Linked DNA regions of Macaca fascicularis. The protein of the gene in region 1 binds, or shares a complex with, the protein of each later gene. Links are inferred from orthologs where the notes say so. Each region holds a gene or a part of one and is shown in the gene's direction. Other genes may lie near its edges.

The links.
Region 2: the proteins of PDZK1 (region 1) and AKAP10 are in contact, whole or in part, in a crystal structure (PDB 3TMH), measured with the Homo sapiens proteins. The link is inferred for Macaca fascicularis from reciprocal best matches to the Homo sapiens genes PDZK1 and AKAP10. Residues at the interface, in NP_001188254.1 of Homo sapiens: Asn386, Gly387, Tyr388, Gly389, Phe390, His391, Leu392, Asn393, Ala394, Ile395, Arg396, Phe402, Lys404, Tyr436, Glu437, Val440, Ile443, Gln444; in NP_009133.2 of Homo sapiens: Pro655, Leu656, Glu657, Lys658, Ser659, Thr660, Lys661, Leu662.

What each region holds. Positions count from the first base shown.
Region 1 is NC_088375.1:113,700,791-113,705,268, forward strand, and holds the start of PDZK1 (Na(+)/H(+) exchange regulatory cofactor NHE-RF3), read left to right. Parts: upstream 1-1,369; 5' UTR 1,370-1,468; intron 1,469-3,404; exon of another isoform or gene 3,405-3,515; intron 3,516-4,478. UniProt on the Homo sapiens protein: A scaffold protein that connects plasma membrane proteins and regulatory components, regulating their surface expression in epithelial cells apical domains.
Region 2 is NC_088390.1:19,690,979-19,694,787, reverse strand, and holds part of AKAP10 (A-kinase anchor protein 10, mitochondrial), read left to right. Parts: intron 1-806; coding exon 807-1,364; intron 1,365-3,809. UniProt on the Homo sapiens protein: Differentially targeted protein that binds to type I and II regulatory subunits of protein kinase A and anchors them to the mitochondria or the plasma membrane.

The sequences.
Region 1 (4,478 bases):
TCTAGAGCCAGAGTGTTTGTGTTCAAATCCTGGTCCGAAAACTTAATAGTTGCATGACTTGGTCAAGTTTCTTAGGCTCCTGGGCCAGGCACTATGCTCAGCTTTTAATAAATAGACATATTTCAGAAACACGGAGCATCTATAATGTGTCAGGCACCACGGGGCACAGAGAGATCACTAACACAGCAGAGGCAAAGATGTTTTAGTGGTTAAATGGTCTCTAGAGTCAGACCAGCATGTTTGAGATCTGGCTTTGACACTATCTGTGTAATATTGGGCAAGTTTCTTAACCTCTCTGAAAATGAGTTTACTGACCTATAAAATGGTGACAAAATATTTTCTTCCTAGGGTGGTGAGGGTCAAATGAGGTAACCTGTGTAAACTACTTAGCATAATGCCTGGCAGAGAGTAAGGGCTCAATAAATGATAGCTATGATTATTTTTATGCTTTCGTATATTGGAATCAATGGACAGTGTTCCAGGCACATCTACCTACAAGACTGTGTTTAGTCGTTATAAAACACTAAGCCATTATTATTTTTTAAAATTTATTATTTGCACGAAGCATATAGAGGCTTGGAGAGGCCTTGCGACGTGCTTAAAATCACAGCTCCTAAGTTGGGGAGCAGGATTCTAACCCAAGTTATGAGAGTCTTTCTCTTGGAGTCCTCTTTGTCCCTCTCCTCACAGCCACTCATCCACGAACAGCTGTAACACAAGAACGACTGTACTAAGAACAGTAATAAGGTTATAAAGTATCAAGGGGCAGGAAAGGAGAAATTCTGGATGAGTGATGTGGAAAGGCTACAAGATGGCAATGGACTTAGGCCTTCATAGATGTTTGTGGGCTTTGGGGAGCTGGTGCCTAAAGAATACAGTGGATGGCCGGGCGCGGTAGCTCAAGCCTGTAATCCCAGCACTTTGGGAGGCCGAGACGGGCGGATCACGAGGTCAGGAGATCGAGACCATCCTGGCTAACACGGCGAAACCCCGTCTCTACTAAAAAATACAAAAAACTAGCCGGGCGAGGTGGCGGGTGCCTGTAGTCCCAGCTACTTGGGAGGCTGAGGCAGGAGAATGGCATGAACCCGGGAGGCGGAGCTTGCAGTGAGCTGAGATCCGGCCACTGCACTCCAGCCTGGGCAACAGAGCGAGACTCCGTCTCAAAAAAAAAAAAAAAAAAAAAAAAAAAAAATACAGTTGGTGAATTAAGGTGGGCTGAGGAAATCGGGCTTCCTTCCAGTCCTGGCTCCGCACCACATAGCCATGGAATGTTGACAAGGTCGTGTCCCTTCTCTAGGCGTGTTTCCTAAGGGACTGGTGCAGCGGGATGGGAGGGGCGCAGGGTAGGGACCGCTTCCAAGGAGACAGAGGACAGGCAGACAGGCTCGGAGGGGCTGATGCAGCCGGTCACTCCGCTGGAGTGGCCAGGCTTCGCGGTGCCTAGGGCTGAGTTGAAGAAGAGCGTGTAAGTCTGTTGTGGGCCCCTCACCAGCGCTGGGGGGAGGCGGGGTCACTGGGCAAGGATGCTCTGGGAAGTGACCTTGGTGCCCGGGAGGGGAGTACCCTGGTGTGACGCAGGCCGGGCAGCGCGGAGCCGGCGGCGCTGATTCCGCACTCTGGCCGCTAGAGGGCGCTGCCTTCCAGCCAAAGCCGAGTGACCCCAACCTGCCCTGCGTTGGTCACTCCAGCCATGGACCATCCGGCGAGCATGGGGGCTAGACAGGGAAAGCCTAAACTAGGAGGGGAGTTGAGGGGGTGCAAAGTTGGGCCTGGTGGGTCCTGGGGACGCAGCATGTACTAGAGCGGCACCTGGCCCTCAATAGGGGGAGAGCGGGTGGTCGTGAAAAGTCTGGGAATTTTCTGGGCCCACTACACGCCAGGGGCGGGTCTCCCCTCTTAAAACGTTGTGAGCCCCAGCGCGGGCACGGGGGTGGGTGCCCGTGCAGTTGGCATCCTCACCTTTGATCTTCCCCGGGGCTCCCGAGCTGCGCTGGTGGCCCCAGAGCCCGGGGCCTCTCTCAGGCAACAGCTCACAGACTGCAGGAAACTCTCCCCTCCCTCACCTCCGGAGGGGGTCCTGGAGTCTCGTAGGCTCCTGGGTTCAAATTCAAGCTTTGTGTGACCTGTGGCACATTGCTGGACCTCGCTCAGTCTCACATTCCTCTTGTGTTTAAAGCTCCCTCACAGGAATGTGGTGATGGTTAGATGACACATAAAGCTTTGCCAGAGGTTTTCTGGGGAGGATGGGGACAAGATGGCAAGAAAGAGACTCCATTTCCTCTGTCACCGGAGCCCGGATCTAACCTCTCAGAGGAGCTGGAAGGTCAGCTCTGAGCTCCACAAATACCTCTGAATACGGATCTCCCACAACACTGAAAAAGATGCCCAGAAAGATCTCGTTTGCTGCTGTGAAGGCGCTTCTTTTTCTATCTCCACAACCCCAACTGCCTTAAAGTAGAACCAGACTTGTTAGCAAACAGAGGTTTGGGCTGGGGGGCCCTTGAAGCTCTTGTCTGAGATTTTGGGCTTCCTGCTCAACACACCAAAGCAGGCGCCTGACGTAAAGGGGGCCGTGGACCTCTTTGGTGGTCTGGGAAGGCATATGGAGTCCCTTCTCAGAATAACATTTAAAAATTAATAAGATACATGGGATAATAAAGGGAACAAATGATGACAAGACAGTTGTCAAAACATGAGAAGAATGTGTGATAGAGCAGTACACACGCTTCTTTAGATCTGGTATCAGCCTAGTAACTGTTGTAATTCTGCAGTAGTGCTGAGCGTTAATGACATTTGGAGAAATCTATAACAACTGTAATGAGATTTGAAAATATTTGTGTTTTCTATTGATGGCAAATTCTATTGTGGTTCACTGTCTATATTCGTAACTGAAGCAAGTGCTAACTTTCAATTAAAGATTAGTGAAAATAAAGATGTATTTTTCCCAAAAATTCACAAATCCCATGAATGAATCTATGCATGGACCTCCAAGAGGTCCACGATGTGAACCACCTAGGACGTGAACTTCCCCTAGAGGTGCCTCACAGGGCCAGCTCCAAGCCCCGGGCCGCCTCCTGGCTTGTCTCAACCCAGGCCTTGAAGAGCTCCAGCAGAACGCTGATCTAAACTTTGGTAACTTTCCTCTGGCAATTTGAGGAATTCCTCCATTTGAGGAATGTCAGAGTGGGGCCAGGATCCCTGAATGCCCATGGAAGAAGAGCGAGCATGCTGGTCTGGCAGGCAGAAATAACCTTCTCCCCAGGGTCCAGAGGACAGAGGACAGTTCCCTCCAAAAGGCAGGTTTCTCAGGGACCTCATGGGAAGCCTGTCCTTGCCTGAGCAGTTCTGTCAACCATCCCGTCCCTCCACCTGGACCCCAGGTCCCCAACAGATCTTTTTACCTCCAGACAGAAGTTCTTTCTTGCTCTCAGGCTGGGGGCTCACGTTGAAATGGCTCTCAGTCCTCAGATTGTTCTTGCATCTTGTTAAAACCCCATCTCTCCAGTTTCGTCATTGCTCACACTTTCATAGCTGTTATATTCAGTCTTTGAAAACCACAGGATGGGTCGTTAAGCAGTCAGAGATCTTCCTCCACCCCCACTGTGGATTTTTTTCTCCTTTCTCTCCTGCAACTGGTCCTCCATCTCCTTCTCCTTTCCTCTCCCTTGTTTTGTCTTGTTGGTGTTAGAAATAGACTAGGGTGCTGAGGGGGCTGAGAAAAACCACCTCTTAAAATTCTTTTCTTTACCCTGGGGAACAAAGATTTTGTGTTTGCTAATTCATAATAAGGAAAGGACTGATGATAGAATAACTAGAAGATAAAAGGACAGAATGTCCTCTCAAGTATAAAGAAAGGTACCAAGTCTTCTCCTGAGAGTAGGTTTTGGTTAGAAGTAGGACAGAGAACACAGCTGCTCCAGGCTGAAAGGGAAGAAGGGCAGGGAGCTGTCAAGAAGGCTTGAGTGAGGGTGGTGGTGAGCAGGGGAGGCAACGAGTAGGGGCACCAAAATGGTCCTGGTGTGGTGGGGGGGAGGATGAATGACTGACCTTAATTTGCCACCCATTTTTTTTCTTTTTCTTTCTTATAATTATTTATTTATTTATTATTATTATTTTTTTTTTAATTTGAGACAGGATCTTACTGTCACCAAGGCTGGAGTACAGTGGGGCAATCATAGCTCACTGCAACGTTGACCTCCTGTGCTCAAGTGATCTTCCCACCTCAGCCCCTCCAAGCAGCTAGGACCACAGGTGTACGCCACCATACCTGGATAACTTTTTATTTATTTATTTATTTATTTATTTATTTATTTAGAGATGGAGTCTCGCTGTGTCACACAGGCTGGAGTACAGTGGCGTGATCTCAGCTCACTGTAACCTCCGCCTCCTGGGCTCAAGTGATGCTCCTGCCTCAACCTTACGAGTAGCTGGGATTATGAGCACCTGCCACCATGCCGGACTAATTTTTATATTTT
Region 2 (3,809 bases), on another chromosome or scaffold:
CCGCCACCATGCCCGGCTAGTTTTTTGTATTTTTAGTAGAGACGGAGTTTCACCATGTTAGCCAGGATGGTCTCGATCTCCTGACCTCGTGATCCACCCGCCTCGGCCTCCCAAAGTGCTGGGATTACAGGCTTGAGCCACCGCGCCCGGCCAGTTTTTAATATTTTTATTGGCCCCTTTTCTTTGGAACTAGTATCATAAGTTTTTTTTCTTAAGAATTTATGTGGTCTGGGCTGGGTGCGGTGGCTCACGCCTGCAATCCCGGCACTTAGGGAGGCTGAGGCGGATGGATTGCCGAAGGTCAGGAGTTTGAGACCAGCCTGACCAGCATGGTGAAACCCCGTCTCTATTGAAAGTACAAAAACTAGCTGGGCGTGGTGGCGGGTGCCTGTAATCCCAGCTACTCAGGAGGCTGAGTCAAGAGAATCGCTTGAACCCGGGAGGTGGAGGTTGCATTGAGCCGAGATTGTGCTATTGCACTCCAGCCTAGGCAACAAAAGTGAAGAGTCTCAAAAAAAAAAAAAAAAAAAAAATTTTTTTGCATGATCTGAATTGCCATTAAAAGAGATATGAGAATTATTGAGTTACAAAGAACTTTTTAATAATTTAGGCAAGTTTTGGAGGATTGTACTTTGTTTAGAATCCAAAAGCATAGTATTTGTAGTTTTTTAAATTTATTTTAGTTGGTAGGAAGTAAACTTTATTCAAGGTCTCTGGTACCAGTTATTGCTAAAAGTGATTGACTAATCTGTCAATCTGAAATTATTTGTTGCCGAACTGCTAATTCTTTTGCTTCTATCTTTTAGGCAGATCTTGTCTGGACTACCAGACTCAAGAGACCAAATCAAGCCTTTCTAAGACCCTTGAACAAGTCTTGCACGACACTGTTGTCCTCCCTTACTTCATTCAATTCATGGAACTTCGGCGAATGGAGCATTTGGTGAAATTTTGGTTAGAGGCTGAAAGTTTTCACTCAACAACTTGGTCGCGAATAAGAGCACACAGTCTAAACACAGTGAAGCAGAGCTCACTGGCTGAGCCTGTCTCTCCATCTAAACAGCACGAAACTACAGCAGCTTTTTTAACTGATTCTCTTGACAAGAGATTGGAGGATTCCGGCTCAGCACAGTTGTTTATGACTCATTCAGAAGGAATTGAACTGAATAATAGAACTAACAGTACTCAGAATCACTTGCTGCTTTCCCAGGAATATGACAGTGCCCATTCTCTCCATCTTGAAAGGGCCAGAGCAGGAACTCATCAAGTTTCCATGGAAACCCAAGAATCTTCCTCTACACTTACAGTAGCCAGTAGAAATAGTCCTGCTTCTCCGCTAAAAGAATTGTCAGGAAAACTAATGAAAAGTGAGTATGTGATTTTCTTGTGTGTACGTGTGTGTCTCACTTTCTTTTTTTAATTTACAAAGCAGAACTTCAGATGAGGAATAAAATGATTGGAATCTTTTTTTTCCTCCTCTAACTACTTGTAAATTTGGGAGAATTTGGAGAGTGTAGTAGAGTCAGATCAGTGTATGGAAAAGGAGCAGGAGGGATATCTGGAGTGACTGGACCTTCTAAGAAGTGTGTTACCAGAATTAGTAAATGAAGAAGGGTCAAATGTCCTACTTTTCTCCTCCACTGATTTTGAAATCAAACCATTATCCACATAGCCTTATTTCCTCCCTCAGTCTTAATTTTATTAATATTTTACTGCAATTTGCAGATAAAATTTTTAAAAATTATTTTTAAAATGGCCAATAAATGACATTTATTAAGTTCTGTGCTTAGGGCTGGGCGCGGTGGCTCAGGCCTGTAATCCCAGCACTTTGGGAGGCTGAGGCAGGTGTATCACAAGGTCAGGAGATCGAGACCATCCTGGCTAACACGGTGAAACCCCATCTCTACTAAAAATACAAAAAACTTAGCCGGGCGTGGTGGCGGGCGTCTGTAGTCCCAGCTACTTGGGAGACGAGGCAGGAGAATGGCATGAACCCAGGAGGCAGAGCTTGCAGTGAGCCGAGATCGCGCCACTGCACTCCAGCCTGGGTAACAGCAAGACTGCGTCTCAAAAGAAAAAAAAAAGTTCTGTGCTTAGTGTATATTTGGATTTTATTTATTAGTCACAAGACCTCTGTGCAGGTAATAGGCATGATTATCTTATTTACACATGAGAAAACCAGGGCTTAGAAAGGTTTGATAACTTTCCCCTAGGTTGTACAGTAAATGTGGACCTAGAAGCATTTTGACAAGAGCACCTGTTTTTTTTCTTCTCTATTAGTTTAGAAATTCTATACTCTTAATTATTACCTGGGATTTTGATTAGACAGCCTTCATGTTCTTCTTTTTCATCTTAAGGGTTCTTTGTGTCTCAAAGGGCTAAGTGATTTCAGATGTTTAGTTCGCTCATTCTCAGTGAACTAAAATGAGGTCTAATCTGCTACTGAATCAAGTTTTCAGTGTGTTATTTCCTGCCTCCCTCCCTCCATCCTTCCTTCCCTCCCTCCCTCCCTCCTTCCTTCCCTCAACCAGGCTCCTGAGGAGCCGGGATTACAGGCGCCCACCACCACACCTGGCTAATTTTTATATTTTTAGTAGAGATGGGGTTTCACCATGTTGGTCAGGCTGGTCTTGAACTCCTGACCTCAAGTGATCCACCTGCCTCGGCCTCCCAAAGTGCTGGGATTACAGGTATCAGTCACTACACCTGGCCGCATGTTATTTTCATCACAAAGTTATTGTAAACTGGGTGAAGCGGCACACACTTGTACTCCCAGCTACTCAGGAAGCTTAAGGTGAGAAGATTGCTTGAGCCCAGGAGTTTTGAGACCAGCCTGGGCAACAAGCAAGACCCCAGCTCAAACAAAGAAAAAAAAGTTGGCCGGGCGCGGTGGCTCAAGCCTGTAATCCCAGCACTTTGGGAGGCCGAGACAGGTGGATCATGAGGTCAGGAGATCGAGACCATCCTGGCTAATATGGTGAAACCCCGTCTCTACTAAAAATACAAAAAACTAGCCGGGCGAGGTGGTGGGCGCCTGTAGTCCCAGCTACTCGGGAGGCTGAGGCAGGAGAATGGCGTAAACCCGGGAGGCGGAGCTTGCAGTGAGCTGAGATCCGGCCACTGCACTCCAGCCTGGGCAACAAAGCGAGACTCCGTCTCAAAAAAAAAAAAAAAGAAAAAAAGTTACTGAATTTTTTATTTCTATGGATCATTTTTTGTAGTTTCTTTTTCCTTTCACACTTCATCCCACTTTTGATCCTATCTTTTATTTCCTTAGTTTTATTAAATGTGTATTTATTGTCTGATAATTCTACTGTCTACAGTTTTTGTGGACCTGATTCAGCATTTCTTTGTTTCCTCAGATTCAGACTCTTGGTGGCTTGTGATTTTAGTGATTTTTGGCCGTGAACATGTTTCTTGGACTTTTATCTGTGGGAATTCTCTATGTACTCTGTATAAATTAGGTTATTTCAGGTGTTTTGCATTCTCTTTTGCCATGCAGCTGGGGCCTGTGTCACTACCCTTCTGGTACCACTTAAAACTGAATTTTTGTCTTGGGTGCTCGTACTAATCCTATATGAGTGCAAGTTTGTACTTATTGCAGAAATATGATGGTTTTTGATTATGGGGTATTGTCCCAGGTAGGTGCTAGAGTGTTAATTAATATGCTTTCTGTTAATGTGTTGTCCCTGTAAAACCTTCCAAAATTCTGAATTCCAGAATACTACTGGCCCCAAATGTTTCAGATAAGGGAACTGCCTGTATTTGTTTCTGGCTCCCACTGTTTTCCTTACTTTAACACAAACTCATCT